Linked DNA regions of Tamandua tetradactyla. The protein of the gene in region 2 purifies or fractionates together with the protein of the main gene of each other region. This does not show direct contact. Links are inferred from orthologs where the notes say so. Each region holds a gene or a part of one and is shown on either strand. Other genes may lie near its edges.

Region 1 (8,096 bases), on a different chromosome or scaffold from region 2:
TATAATGCTTTAGCAATCCACAAGCTGCTTCTGATTGCAGAGCAAGTTCTGAGAGAGCAAGCCCAAGAAGGATCTCCTAGTTTGGTGATTCACACTCTACCCCAGTTAATGGATACTCTTGTATAAGCACCCCACTATATTAGGCAGATAGGGGTTACTCTACTCCTGCTTGAACAGGTCCAAGAATCCACCACCAGTGTGCATACTGGTTCCAAAGTCTGCCAGCGAGTGGGTGGAAGACAGGCCAGCAAGCGCACCACAAGTCTCTCCTATTGCATTTTTTTTTGTATGCTGTATGGTGGGGGTCACATTTCATTCTTTTTCCATGTGACTATCCTATTATTGCAGCACCATTTGTTGATTTTTTTGGGGTGGGGGGAAATGCATGGGCTGGGAATTCAACCCGAATCTCCTTCATGGCAGGTGAGAATTCTACCACTGAATTACCCTTGTATCCCTCAGTACATTTGCAACCCCCTCTACACTTGCACCCGCCCTTATTTTTACATTAGTGGAGTGAGGATGATAATACCTACCTATCTTGATCAGGGTTCATTTTATAGATAAAATGAAACTATTATGAGAGTGTACTTTAAACACTATAAAAAGTTGTACAAGTGAAAGATAGCATTAGATAGCACAGGGAAAGATAAGGTTGTATTAGGAAATTAATAATGTACAGATCTAAAGAAACTTTCCCTAGCAATTCTTACTTAACACGTGTATTTAAGTCTAGTTAAATTGAAAAGGCCAGCTCTGAAAGGGGAAGAAGGAAATATGGTATAAAGGTCAAAGTAGGATTAGAGCATGTTAGGTCCACAAAAATCTGGGGTGATAACTGAATTCAAACCTCTCATTTTCTACATGATGGACCTGGGGCCCAGAGGGGTCAAGTGAATCTTGTAAGGTCACTCATATTAGAAACACCTAATTCTTATCTCGTGATTCGCTTCCTTGTCAATGGCAGCCTCAATATAAAACAAATCATGCCCCCATGAAAATTCCTAATTAGGAGAGAAAAAATAAACAAACGACATACTTGGCAAGCAATACAACACAGAACACAATTTTAAATCTCAAAAAAATGTGACCAGAGAAGCACGGGTAATGAGAATCCCAGAATGAGTAAGTCAAGCAGCCAGGCTAAATTGGTGATAGGACTAAAGCTGAGGCCTTAGAATGTACGACATAGAATGTAGGTAAATAAAGATACTGTGAAATGGAGTGTAATATGGAGATGAATTGTGAATCATTTCTTAGGAAAACAATGGATATGATTGATGTTTGGAAGCATGATAATCTGTGTCATCCTGGGTGAAGAGGAACACTTCAATGTGCATTTAATACACGACTATTAATTACTTTTTTCTACTTGATCTTTATTAACACTTTAATTCTTACCCCATCCTTTCTTATAGTAAATGAAGTGGTGGACAAGAATGCTTAATTAAATATGATTGCCTAAGCAGATTTAAACCCAGAATAGTGCCTGCTCTTATTTGTTTCTAATGACTTGTCACCTCTTCTTCCCTCACCCCATCAGGTTCCCATTCTTCTTGGAACGGATAATCAATTTAATTAAAGGAGTATAAAAGGTAAAATCAAGGAGTAACTTTAGACACTACCCTCTTTTCCACCATTCCCTACACCTAACCAGTTCCCAAGCCCAGTGGATTTTTGATATGCTAAATATTTCTCAACCTGTCCTCTGCTCCGTATGCTGTTCCCTCTGCCACTTGATTCAGATTATCACCATTTCTCATGTCATTTACGCAATAACAGTTCAACTGGTATCTAGGCCTTCTTGCCTCTAGTGTTTCTATTCTCATTTCTCATAGTGGCAAAACTACCTTTTAAAAGTGTAAATCTGCTTTATACATATGGATAAAATCCTTCTTTAGTTTACAGGACAAAACCTAAACTCCATTGCCTGGCACAAAGAGCCTTTCAGGTCCTGGCTCTCTGTCGTAATTTTGGCTACTCCCAAACAAATAGCAAACCCCATCCCTAATGTAGCAATTTCTTCAACTCTCATGATTATTTTACTTGCTGAAAAGTTTCTCTGCTTATTTCAAACTGTTGACCCCCCTACTTATCCTTCAAAACTTCCTAATTCCTGGTCAGCTCAGCTATTCATTGCCTTTAGCTCCTTTACCAAGCTGCTAATATATGACTTCTTGTCCATATAGTAATTGACTGTAAAGTCCTCTTCTGTTGAGCTATGGAATCAATATACCTAGTGAGGTATCACCCCACCCTCTTGAAGAGGTCAAGAGGAATGCTTTAAGTGGGGAAAATAAGTAGGAGAAAGCGTGAACTAGATTTACAGAACTGAAAGAGGAGAAAAAGAAAGGAAAGGTAATAAATGGCCTTGCTAAGATAGCAGGGAAAGGAAGTTCATCAACAGACATTCACTTCCACAACAGGAAAGGCCTTCAACTGCTAAAATGGACAATCTATTTTTCTTTTCAGGAAAACATCACAATTATCCAAATCTTTAGCAAATTCCTTCTTTCCCCCTGCCTTCAGGACTAAACTAGCAGAAAATTTTTTTAATACCTGGTGATCTGGAGTTGGTAGCCAGCAGGGGAGTTCACAGGCCCAGGACTGAGAGGTCCAGCCTCAGGGCCTAGCAGAGGGAACCAAGAAGAAATCCACCTTTGTTATTTAACATTTGTCTGGAGCATGACAGGTCTGACATGAAACCCCCCAAAAGCTGCTTCAAACCACAACAGTGTGAAGCCCAGACTCCCACTATTTGCAAGTCTTTTGAAAATACCTTGTAACCTAACCATAGCATTTGCTTGGGTGGCCAACACTAAAGTGGCGTCTGTTCTATTGGATCCTTCCCAGCAAATGGTACCAGAGAAGATTTGCAGTATTAAGGCATGGACGGTGATTTATTTTCTTGATTATGAAATGACCATGGGTCAAAATTACTCCATTTTAGAGAGCACTCAGATTTTTTATTTTAAAGGGAAAGTAATAATTAAAAGGGCCTTTAAAAAAGCCTTTCATTCCCAACTAACATTTACAGGATACTTCCTACAAAGTGCCTAGCTCTTAGATATGTTTTTCACAGATTGGGTCAACCACCCATTTGCAGATGAGGAAATTGACGCTCAGCGTGGTCGTTAGTTGCATTGTTCTAGGAAATGGCCAAGGTGGAATTTGAACCCAGGTCTCTTAACATCCATTTCTGAGACCTGCAGTTACTTCAAACACTACTGCAAATAAAATCTAATAATGGTGTTCCTCGTGTATTTGTGTTTGAACTCTTGAGTTAAGCAGAACGGAAGCAATGGGAAGGAAATAAAATTTAGAGGAATGAGAAGGAGGGAGCAAGCGCTTATCCCATTTTCAATTTACTCAGAGGGTATTCTCAGAATAAACTTCAAACATTGCTTCCTCAAAACCACGGTTCTAACAAAAAAAATTAACGCAGAATGGCTGTGCGAGTCTCGTCAAAGTTGTCAATAAGGCAAAGGCTCAGGGCGGTAAAGAGATGCACCAGGTCATGCTATTTCATTTATTTCAGCGTGACAAGGGCGGTAGGGAGAGGAAGGTGAAAACGCGAGCTCTCCCGGGGCTAACTTGGTGTTCCAGATGCTTCCTTACTGTTACCGAGGCTGTGTGGCTTAGTCTCCATATTCCACTTGTTTTTACTCAGCGTTTCAGTCTCACTCCTGGACACACCGGACGCCAACACGCCTGTGAGAGAAAAGATCCTCTTTGATCTCTTCAGAGACGTCTATCTTTTCCACAGGCGGCCCCGGGGAGTGAATCTGGGGCCTCCCCCGACGCCTCTCTCGCGCTCGCGAACGCCGGGGTCGCGCGCCGAGGCGGGGGCGCCCTTTAAACACGCCAGTGCCCGCGATCCCGCGGCCGCCCACCCCGCGCGGAGGGGCGCGGGCGGCTTCGGGGCGTCGAGCGGAGGAAGAGGTGACCTCAGACTACCCCGGAGCCGGACAGGAGCCGCCTGTGTAAACGCACGAGGCGGTGTCCTGAGGTGACACCGGCTGCACCGCAGAAGCAGCAGGCGCCGCCGATCAACTAGTTCGCGCCGAGGATTCCTCTTGGTGCGTGGCCCAGTTCTACTCAGGACCCGCTCCAACCCCTCCCTGACACCGCCCCCCGCGCCGGGAAAGCCGCGCAGGCCGCCTCCCTCTGCCCCCCCGAGCCCCCGACACTGGCCGGCGCGCGCGCGCGCGATTCCTCGATTCCACAGGCGGTTCGCGGCCCGAGTGGGGGCGGGGCTCGCGGGGAGAGGACTGGCAGCCGCGGGCGAGGGGGGTGCGGGGCGGGGGCGAGCCGGCGTGGGGAGTTCCTCGCTCGCGGACCACACGCTCTGCGGGCCAATCCCGAGCCAGCCTCTAGCAGTGTCGCACGCGGGACACGTCCAAGCGTTTGTTGGCAGAGCTGGTGAGGGGGAGGGGGCGAGAGGGAGGGAGGGGAGTTGAATGACAGGCTCGCGGGGCAGGCTGGGAGTTGTAGTTCCCACCTCCCATGGCCATAGCCATTTTGTAGTCGGGGGACTACAACTTCCAGAAGATCAAGGGGACCATTCTAAGGTGCCCCGGGAATAGGCGGCTCTCCCCGGGGCCGGGCGTCCTGGGGCACTCGTACCCAGAAGCCGGGCTGCAGGTAGATGTGAGGGCAGTGGCGGGGGCTAGCGTGTGGGGGCTGTGGGGCGAGCGGCGAGTGGGGAGAAAAGGGGTGAGGTGGAGCGACCGAGCGTGCCATGCATTGGGTTTAGGGATCGTCTGTCAATTCCAGTCCTAGGCTCGGCGTGGGAGAGATGTCTGGAAGGTTGCCTGGGGCGGGCTCATTGCGGTCTCTCGGGTGTCTGGTCGACCGGGCTGCGGGGGTCCTCAGGACTGGGCCAGGGGCGGTGAGCGCCGCGGTTGGCTGGCGCCTGGTGGCTCAGCTGTGGGAGTTTTCGGCTAGTTTTTGAAGGGGAATTACCCGAGGAGCCCTAACTTGTATAAAAGCAGAGTCCATTTAAAGTTGGGCTGGATAGCCTCTCTCTCATTGGTTAGGGGGCTTGGAAAAAAGAGACTCGGCGAGCCCTCGCTGTGGTGCCGCCGCCGCCGCCGCTGGAGTTGACTCTTCTCTCACTGCTGCTGCAGCACAAACGTGACTTCCAACATTTTTTATTTATCTTTCCCTTTTCTTTTCCAAGATGTAACTACATATCAGACACTAAGGACCTTCACGTTCCGCTGATGTAGTTTTTGGAGGAAAAAGGGGGGAGTGAAGGGCGTCGGTTTTTTTTTTTTGTGTGTGTGTGTTTCGGGGGAAATTTTCCATTATGAGTGTTTTACTAAAGTGAATTTTTTTTTGTTTGCTTCGTTCGTCTTTGGCTCTTTTTTTTATTTTTCCTTCCCAATTTCGGATTTATTTCAAGGCGAATCTGGTTTTGGGGGAAGAGGAAGAAAAGTCGGATTACAAGATCAACCACCACGACCAACAACAATAAAAACCTACAGGATTTTTTTTGCAAATTTCTGACGGCTTTAAATTCATGAAGCAATTGTCCCCTTTTGCAATCAGCATTTGGATCTCAGAATGAGCAAGGAAAGACCCAAGAGGAATATCATTCAGAAGAAATACGTAAGTGCTCTTAACAACATATCCTTTGACTCGCAGTTTTAAGCAATGGCTGTGAATGTCAAGTTTATAGATAATTCTGCAGCTGAAGGGTTTTAAACACAGCGTCCGATAAGGCTTTTTCTTTCTTTTCAGAAAGAGGGCTTTTCAGGCAAAGTCGTGTCTGTTCAGTTTGGTCGAAAAAACAGATTGGTGTAGCGATACCTCAAGTGAATAAATTGACCTCGAATGACACAACCATAATGTAGTTTTGGATGAAAGGCAAGGGATTTTGGTGGAGCTTGGGGGGGTGGGGTGGGTGGGCGGTTGCGGTAATGTAACTAAACTGCATTCTCGGGCGGATTTGGCCCCCATATTGCACTTTGCATGCAAATGAGCCTGTTATTATTAATGTTATTTGAAAATCGTATAACGCGTGTGTAGTCTAAGCCTTTTAACTTGCAATCAAGTGTCCGATTTTGGCGACCTTGTTCCTTGCACTGGCACATCAAATTTAATGTATGGGATCGTTTTGGCTTATCTGGTTCGGAACATAAACCAGTTGGGAATCATGTTTCAGCGAATACATTTGTTGGGGTTGACTTTAATAATGGGGCTGGTTTTGTTTAAAAATTCATGGTTTCCAGTTTTAGGGAAAAAAAAGACTGGCTGGTGTTTTTAAGTGTGTGCGTAAATGCATATGTTAAGTGTCTACAAGTAATTTCTTCCTCTTAACTGATCTGATTATTCAGAGGTTTAAATGGTTTGGCACAGTTAAATTTGTTTCGTGCATAGTACAGCTACATTTTGATTGGCATTGGGAGTGTTTTTGTTTTGTGTGTGGTGGCTTTTTTTTTTTTAAGTTTGGGGGGAGGGAGGGGAGCATGAGACTGGGGGATTAACCAAATATATACTCTAGTGGTCGGCTATTAGCTGTACGCGTTAAATGAAAACCCATTTTTTAAAAAGGCCAAATGTTCATACATCGAGAATAATGCAGCGTTATAAGAAAGTTTTATTGGACTCGAGTTGACAAGTTGGGCGTTAATATTCCTTTTTGATATGTGTGGTGGGAGTAACATTCGGGGCACTGGTTTTGCAAAAAAAAAAAAAAATAATAGAAAAGATGAATACCTTTTTTAGAGGGGTGATCCTAATCTAGACACTTTAAACTTCCCCTGTGGAAGAAATTCAAGGTTAAATAATCAAGTCCAACTTAAAATGCTATTCCATAAAGAATTTACGAATTAAAATACATCCGCATTGCAGAGGGTTGGGGAGAATGCAAAGCACTAGTTTAAACTCAGGCTGTATAAACTGCATGGAGGCAACCTTGCCTGCGAGCGTGGAAGCCCTCCCGGGGCACGTCCATTTGGGATGCAGCCACAAAGCAAATTGGGTAGAACTTGGACAAGAACCGCCCCTTCTACACCCCCCACCCCCACCCCCCGCTGCCCCAACCTCGTTAAGTTGGAGAGTAGTGTGGGGCGGATATTTTTTGTGTGTGACTACGCCGGCGGATGGTGCGGCAGCCAAAGTGTCGAGTCCCGCCGCTGTAATCCCGTGTCTGACGGCGGCCGGGGAGGCAGAGCTCGAGTTGTTGCTTTGGGAGAGGAGCCGTGTTCCGGACGTCCTCGGGCCAGCCGGGGAGGGGGCGCCCGGGTCGCCGTGGGCCAGGCTGGATGGCCTGTAGGGGGCAGGCTCCCGGTTCCGGGCGGGGGCGCGAGACGGACGCCGTGCGCCCCGGGACGGCCCGCGGGTGGGGTGGGGCAGGGGCAGGGGGCGCGAGGCCTGCTAGGTCCCGGGGAGTGTGCGGCGTGTGCCGGGAGGGGGCCAGACCGCCCACAGCTGAGGCGGGAGCCCCCACGGTGAGCATGGCGGCGGCGGCGGCCGCCCGGGGGCCGGTTCTTTGCGGCCCTGCCGGCGGGCTCCAAGGCGCAGTCTCGAGCGCAACAGGTTAAGCCGGCGAGACGTCAGTCCGCTCCCCCCACCCCCCGGTCCTCCCCCCGCCGGCGCCCCCGCCCTCCACCCCCGGCTTCTCCCGGTGCCCGTGTGCGTCCCGCTGCGTTCTGTTGTCATTGTGACGTCACAAAGGGACGGGCCTGGGTGGAACCTTCCCCTCCTCCTCTGTGACGTCAGAAGTCGGGCGGGAGGTTCCAGACGCATCCCGGCTGCGGTGGGAGGAGGGAGCGCGGCTGGGGCCGGGGCTGCGGAGGAGCCGCGTGGCCTAACCGCGGCTGTAAATCCGCGTGGGAGGAGGAGCGGGAGGATGCGCTCTGCCTCTGCCTTCCGCCCCGAAACTGCGCTTCCCACCAGGTGAGAGCCGAGAACCTGTCGTCTCGGAACGAGAGCCCCCGGATCTTGCTCTGATTCCGTGGAGGGGTGCAGAAATGCGTTTCCTCCGTTCCAGGTCTTCTGATGGTATTGCGTTTCCAAGGCTTTTGAAAAGGAAGGAAACTTAATTCAGGGAAAGCTTTGATTTGTTGGAGGACACCCTCGTTGAGTGT
Region 2 (7,963 bases):
TGAATTTCGATGGAGTGGGGTATGTAAAAGTTTGGTCATGAAGTTTCAGATCCTACATTTCAAGTAACTTTTTAAAAAACAACTGGTTATTGAGAATTGGTATAGCAGAAAAGTAGAATATCGGCAATTACAGAAAAGACTTAAAATCCTCCTTTCACATATCTCTGTGAGGCTAGATTTTCTGCATATATTTCGGTTGAAACATTCAGAGAAGAGATAAGAGAATCCAGCTGTTATCTCTTAAACCAAGGGATTTGCAAAAACTGTAAAGTAATGCCTCTCTTCTTGCCAAGTTTTTGAAGTTATTTCTTCATTAAAAAGACTATTTTAAACACCTGCCAGAATGGCCATTATCAACAAAACAGAAAATGACAAGTGCTAGAGAGGATGTGGAGAAAGAGGCACACTTATTCACCGTTGGTGGGAATGTCAAATGGTGCAATTGCTGTGGAAGGCAGTTTGGCAGCTCCTCAAAAAGCTGAATATAGAATTGCCATATGACCCAGCAATACCACTGCTAGGTATCTACTCAAAGGACATAAGGGCAAACACACAAACGGACACTTGCACACCAATGTTTATAGCAGCATTATTTACAATTGCAAAGAGATGGTAACAGCCAAAATATCCATCAACAGATGAGTGGCTAAACAAACTGTAGTATATACATATGATGGAATATTATGCAGCTTTAAGGCATACTTTATGAAGTATGTAACAACATGAATGGACCTAGAGAACATTATGCTGAGTGAGATTAGCCAAAAACTAAAGGACAAATACTTTATGGTCTCATTGAAATGAACAGACATTAGTGAATAAACTTGGAATATTTCGTTGGTAACAGAGACCATCAGGAGATAGAAATAGGGTAAGATATTGGGTAATTGGAGCTGAAGGGATACAGACTGTGCAACAGGACTGGATACAAAAACTCAGAAATGGACAGCACAATACTACCTAACTGTAATATGATTACGTTAAAACACTGAATGAAGCTGCATGTGAGAATGATAGAGGGAGGAGGGCTGGGGACATAGATGAAATCAGAAAGAAAGATGTTGAAGATTGAGATGGTGTAATCTAGGAATGCCTAGAGTGTATAATAATAGTGAAATGTACAATGTACAAATTTTAAAAATGTTTTTGCATGAGGAAGAACAAAGGAATGTCATTATTGCAGAGTGCTGAAAATAGATGGTAATTAATATTTTAAAATGTCACCTTATGTGTGAGACTAAAGCAAAAAATGTTTATTTGTTACGAAATTTATGTTTTGACTAGAGCATTTCCTAGTATAACTTATGTAGATAGTTTGATTGAACGTCATAAATACTTGGAATCTCAGGTAGGACATGAGATTTTGTTGGTTTGTCCAGAGTGATGCCCCAATGAATCCCAGAGTGATTCAATCAGTGAGTGGAAAAGTATTTGCAAAGCCCCCCTCGGGGAATGGTGAGAGCGGGGAGAAATTCAACTTCCCCAAGTTGAATTCTTGATATTTTCACAAGCAGTGTGGACAACCAAAGCTGTAGGCTGAGCCCCCAGTCTTGGGGTTTGTTCATATGAAACTTAACCCCACAAAGGATAGGTCAAGTCTACTTAAAATGTTGGCCTAAGAGTCACCCCCAAGAGAGCCTCTTTTGTTGCTCAGATGTGGCTTCTCTCTCCAGCCAACATGACGAGCAGTCTCACCACCCTCCCCCTCTCTACGTGGGACATGACTCCCAGGGGTGTGGACCTTCCTGGCAACGTGGGACAGAGATCCTGGACTGAGCTGAGACTTAGCATCAAGGGATTGAGAAAAACCCTAGAACGAGCTGAGACTTAACATCAAGGGATTGAGAGAACCTTCTCAACCAAAAGGGGGAAGAGTGAAATGAGACAAAGTGTCAGTGGCTGAGAGATTCCAAACAGAGTCGAGAGGTTATCTTGGAGGTTATTCTTACGCATTAAGTAGATATCACCTTGTTGTTCAAGATGTAGTGGAGAGGCTGGAGGGAATTGCCTGAAAATGTAGAGCTGTGTTCCAGTAGCCATGTTTCTTGATGATGATTGAACAATGATATAGCTTTCACAATGTGACTATGTGATTGTGAAAACCTTGTGTCTGATGCTCCTTTTACCTATCATATCAACAGATGAGTAGAACATATGGAATAAAAATAAATAATAGGAGAAGCAAATGTTAAAATAAATTTAGTTTTAAATGCTAGTGATCAGTGAAAGTGAGGGGCAAGGGGTATGGTATGTATAATCTTTTTTTTCTGTTATCGTTTTATTTCTTTTTCTAAATCGATGCAAATGTTCTAAGAAATGGTGAATATGCAACTATGTGATGATATTAAGAATTACTGATTATATATGTAGAATGGAATTATGTTAATATTTTTGTTAATTTTTTAAATTAATAAAAAAAGACTTTTAAAACATGTAATGAGCTTGTTATTATTTTAAATTAACTATTTTTTCTAAATTTTTTAATTATCCATTTTCATTTGGATAATAATCAATAGCTATAAGAAAAAGTTTTTTGGGGTCTTTAGTAATTTTTAAGGTATAAAGGCTTCTGTGTCTAACAACTGCTTATTTAGAAGAAAACAGATTATTAAACATAATCTGTCTTTAGGCAAGATCTGCAAATACCTTGAATTCAGTTAAATTCAGCAGTAGTTAAGCAAAAGTCCAGCAACGCTAATGCTTTCCTTTTTGTTATATATACTTTATTTAATGTACTCCCTTGGAGACAAGTTGTGCTCCCAAGAGTCCTTGCTTCTCTTCTTCCCTTTTTCTCTCACATAGAAATGTCTTTGTAGTCCCGGTGTATCTGCAGCTGGATACTCCAATATTTTTTATTCCATTGATATTTCTCAGTTGTTGGTGCTACAATAATTGTGACAGTGGAATGTAAAGGGATCCTTGGGCTTGTCTCCATTTGTGACTTTTTTTTCCTGATTAATAATGACAGGGGTGGGTAATTGTTGGAGCTCCTAACCTAAGCAGAGCTAAGGAGAGAAAGGAAAGGGGAATATTTGACTTAGCGATCAGGAAGAATGTTTTTGCCTTTTTAGCAATTCATGTCCATATTTTAAAAAACAGAAGTCTATTTAGTGAGTTGATACTCTATATTACTGAAATGGTTTATTGAGGTATTGAATTTTGTTTATTTAAGTATAACATTATCAAACACCCCACCCCCACATGCCCACACACCCCCCCACCATACATACACGTTTATCAAATTGTCAGTGTGGAGACTATGGGGATTGGAGAAAAACAATGGGTGGGGAGACTTTTGGCGTTAGACTTCCTTCTTTTAAATTCCAGTTTTTCTACTTCCAAACCGTATGATCTTGTACAGATTACATTATAACCTCACGTTTTTCCTAGGTAATTTGGGATGGTGATTTCCTGTAGAATTGTATTGAAAACTTCATGTAAAGTACTTATCACAAAAGCAGTGATACTTATTATAGACAGATAGGAGAAGGGCTTTTTAGTAGATTTTCAAGTTAAATCGTAGGAATCCCCTATTCTTGACTACCTTCTCTTCATCATGAAGAGATGATAGAATTACATGATGTAATTCTGAATTACATCATGCAATTCTATCATTGTTAAATCATTTTCTCAGAATTTATATATAGAATTCTTAAGTATTGAAGCTTCTCTTTCCCTCTTGATTTATCTTTATAAGCTTATGCTTATTTTAGGATTATTTATCTGTCTAGTTTTACATATCATTGTGTTAAATTTGTGAAAAATGTAAATTGGAAAAGTGAAACCAAATAAGAAACACTGTTTTGTTACCTTTAAGAAAGTTGATGGTACGTTGTTTATGGAATGACTGATGTATTATTCATAATGTAATTTAGGGGTCTGTTATTTTGGGATCTTTTACTTGAAAAAAATGCTTTTTTTACATATTCTCACTTAAGTATAATTTTGTGAAGTTAGTAGTTCTCAATCTTTTTTTTTTTTTGCCCCCACTCTGCATATTTGAGAGACCATGATACACTCCCACCAATTAAAGTGATTCCCTGTAGGAAGAGGGTCCCAGCTGCTCCCAGTGAGTGTGAATATACCCATTTGCCCCCCAAAGTCACTGGTTTAGTGTGAGCTTTAACTGCATGTAGCATATTCAAGAGATTAAAATTTAATTCATATTTATTCTTTATCAAGTGCTTATGGGATTATACAGTATAACTTATTTTAGTTTATCTAAAACAAGTCATGAGATTTGAGGCATTCTTTGCTAATAACAGTGGCCTTCCCACCTCAAATTAGAGGTGATGTTTTGATGATGGCTGACATGAATATCTTATCTTATGAGGGATTGCTAAATTCTAGGCTCATTTAGAATAGACATTGAGTTTTGAAAACTATTATCTTGTTTTAAACCTTTGTTTTAGGAGAGTATTCATGATCTTGAGACACCTACTATGTTTTCCTTCAACTTAATATTTTTAAAAAATCAAAATTTTTAATTAAAATTAGAATTTTTCATTGGTTTAAAGTAAGTTATACGAGTAAACTAGTCTTATTTATGGTCTTTTATTTCCTGAACAGAGACTCCACAGGGGCAGGTAATTCACTGGTCCACAAGCGGTCTCCTTTACGTCGAAACCAAAAGACCCCAGCATCCTTGACCAAGCTGTCTTTACAGGATGGACATAAAACCAAAAAGCCAGCATGTAAATTTGAAGAGGGTCAGGATGTCCTAGCTAGATGGTCAGATGGCTTGTTTTATCTTGGAACTATCAAAAAGGCAAGTTATCTCAAGATAAGTTATCTTTGGCTGTTGTACAGTAAACTTTTAATAATCATAAGCCTTTAAACTTGACTTCATGTTTTTAATTTTAAAAGAGATGACCATAAGTATTCCTCTGCATTGCAGATAAACATATTGAAACAGAGCTGCTTCATCATATTTGAAGATAGTTCTAAATCCTGGGTTCTCTGGAAGGACATTCAAACAGGCAGGTGCTATTATTACTTTTAACCATGATTTATACTAAAATTTGATATCTTCAACTTGTCATTCTAGTGTTGACTCTTCAATACAATGTATTCCTTTTGAGGAGAGGTTAAAATATATATATTCTTCATAAACTTTAAGAAGTTTTACGCTATACTGAAGATTTCTTATAGACCAAAAGAAGAACAAGAATACTGTGTTAGAGTAGAGGTAGACTAGAGGACTGAGGACTCTCACCTATTGTAGGGTAAAATATGGGCCCTTCTAAGAACTTTGAGGAAAAAGGTTAAGCCACTAAGATAAGTAACAGTTTTGGAATCAATTTGGCTGTTACTTGCCTTTATTACTACAGAGCAATGAAGAAAAATAATATTTGTTGAGACCATTATTTGCCAGATGCTTTGAGGAATTTGAACATAAATCATTTTAGAGTACTAGGAATATTTATAAATAAGAGTGGTTTAAAATTGCTGCTTAATTGTGGCTTTTTGTGTTTAGATGGGAAAGTGAGAATATATTTGGGTGCAAATAAAAATGAGTACAAGTGTGTCTTAGTTTGATTATAGGTATGTTTTTTGTAATGATTTCCATTATTATAGATTGCAATTACTGTATGCCCTTTGAATCTCTAAATATAGGTATTTTTGCATGTATATCTTTGATGGAAAATGTTTTATATATATAAAGAGTGAATCTTTACTGAAAATCTGAGCAAAAGCTGTTCGTTAAGACCCCTTTCTTTGTTTTTCTTTTGCTGGGTTAATATGCCTGTTTTGTGTCCTCTGTTGGAAAGGAAACATAAATTATCTTCCCTAAAGTGTAGATATATCTTTCTAAAGTTTTTAGCTATTGGATCCCTATTGCAACTTTATCATAGGTGACTACTACTATATTCTATTTTTTGATTTTTCTCCTTTTTCTGAAAGATTTGAAATGTCTTAATTACCATCTATATAGTTGGTATTCAAGGCTTAGGTGTTACTTCAGTAAAATGTTTTCTTAAGGAAATGTTTTTTAGTTTGTGGAACTGATCAGTTTAAAGGACTAAAGGTATGTTTTGAATATGAAATTGATGGGTCTTTGAGAAAATTTTGTGTGTTATAATATTTAAAGGGATAAAAGGTCAACAATAGTAATATTGAGCTGATCTTGACTACTGCATACAGAATTATCCCTTTTCCCCAAGTTTGTAAACGTTGGTCTCTGAGGTGGGGACTGAAACATATAGTATTGATTGCATCCTATCCCTCTTCCATAAGTTATATGTCCTTTTCAGCTTTTCCACCATTTGGAGGTTGCTGTGGGTTAAAAATAGGCCTCTCTCCATCTTGCACCCTCTAAATGTGGCAGAAAGGAAGAAGAAAACAAATGATACATAATTATGAAAAGTTATTTTGAAGGTGAGGGGTACAGTCCAACCTATGCCCCAGTGTATCAGTTTGGTTGTCTATGGTATTCTTTTTTTTACTGGCTTCTTTGCTATCCCTAAATTACAAAGACTTATTCTTTTGCCATTTAACTTTTTGCCCACCTAGAATGTAGTGCCCATGAAACTTGGAGTTTTAATAGAAATGAGCAAGTAAATGGTCTCCTGTAGCCATTAAGGTAGTACCTGAAAACTTGCATGATGTCATATTTCAATGGAGGAATTATTTAGTAGTTTTTGTCCCTGTAAGTAATAGATTATATATCAAAAATACATAATAAGTCTGAGTAATTTTATTCCTCTAATAACTTTCTTTTAAAAAGCTTACATAAATAAGTAAAAATGTATAATTATATTAGTAGTGAAAGAAATTTATTTTAGCACAGGGATTTATGTTAAAAACATTAGATTTAAAGGATTTTAAACTTTCACACTTAATGCTACTACATTTTTTGTGAAAATGCAACTGACATTGTTGGTGGCAGTGTAAATTTGAATTTTGGCTGTTAATTTAGCAATTGGATTAAATGCATAAAATGTTTATACACTTTAATCTACCTGCCCACGTTCAGCAGTTTGTTCAAAAGAAATCTCAAAAATTAAAAAGAAAAATGTTTGCTGTAGCTTTATATTTACAGTCATTTGGATTTAGAAGTTAGAGAGTCTATAGAGGGCCACTGAGCTACACAGGAAAGTTCTTGTAAATTTGATGGTAAAAATGTTACTTATATTTCACAAGTAAATGTAGTACTTGATTTCCACAGGATTGTTTTCTGAGGTGATGAGTCAGCTCTCCTTTGCAGGGGAGCTGCCTTCTTTCTTACCAGTCCATGTGGTTACAGAAGGAGTCAGGTGCAAGCACCTTTTGCAAATCTTGGGTGATCAGTTCCTTTTAGGAAATTGCAGACGTAGGCTGACAGTTCCCACTGGGGCTGAGTCTGGCTGCTCTCCTGACGAGAGCTATAAATCCAGAACCTATGGGAGGCCATGTCTTGACGGGTATACCAGGAAGCAGATGAATGAAGCCTGGGAGAAGATGGGAGAACAAAAGACTAAAGTGAACAAAACTACAGACTAGCAAAAAATCCCACAAAATACCCACAAGAAAAAATAAACCAAAATATGATTTTGTAACCTGTATGTCCAAGAATAGAGTAAGAAAGTACATTTGGTTCCATCCACTGGATCAAATATTATGCAGTCATTATAAGTTATGAATTAGAAAACTGGCAGTGTTAAAAATGCTTTTGATGGAATAAATACTGCATATTTTCAGTGAAAGGTAGCTTCTCATTGTGAGAAAAATATAGACTCTACCATATCTGGGTGTAAATCCTAGCCTTGGTACTTAACTGATTTAGGGTTCTTGGGTTAGTTACTTTATATTTCTGAGCCTCAGTTCCTCTCTATAAATAGGATATTTACCGAAGAGTTGGTTGTAGAGTTAAAATAATACATGCCAAGAGTCTTATACAATGCTTGGCACAAAATTGTAATTATTTTGTTATCTTTGATAATATGATAAAGCAGGTACATTATAACTTTTAAGTTTATATTTA

Evidence for each region. Proteins that work in one complex are often made in the same cells at the same time.
Region 1: the proteins of MTF2 (region 2) and JARID2 purify together in Homo sapiens (affinity purification with mass spectrometry; 3 studies listed by BioGRID and IntAct, with this or other methods). This does not show direct contact. The link is inferred for Tamandua tetradactyla from reciprocal best matches to the Homo sapiens genes MTF2 and JARID2.

Annotation. Positions count from the first base shown.
Region 1 is NC_135351.1:18,257,632-18,265,727, forward strand, and holds the start of JARID2 (protein Jumonji), read left to right. Parts: upstream 1-5,029; 5' UTR 5,030-5,568; coding exon 5,569-5,613; intron 5,614-6,723; exon of another isoform or gene 6,724-6,767; intron 6,768-7,050; exon of another isoform or gene 7,051-7,296; intron 7,297-8,096.
Region 2 is NC_135337.1:30,941,831-30,949,793, reverse strand, and holds the start of MTF2 (metal-response element-binding transcription factor 2), read left to right. Parts: upstream 1-4,926; 5' UTR 4,927-4,983; intron 4,984-7,963. UniProt on the Homo sapiens protein: Polycomb group (PcG) protein that specifically binds histone H3 trimethylated at 'Lys-36' (H3K36me3) and recruits the PRC2 complex, thus enhancing PRC2 H3K27me3 methylation activity.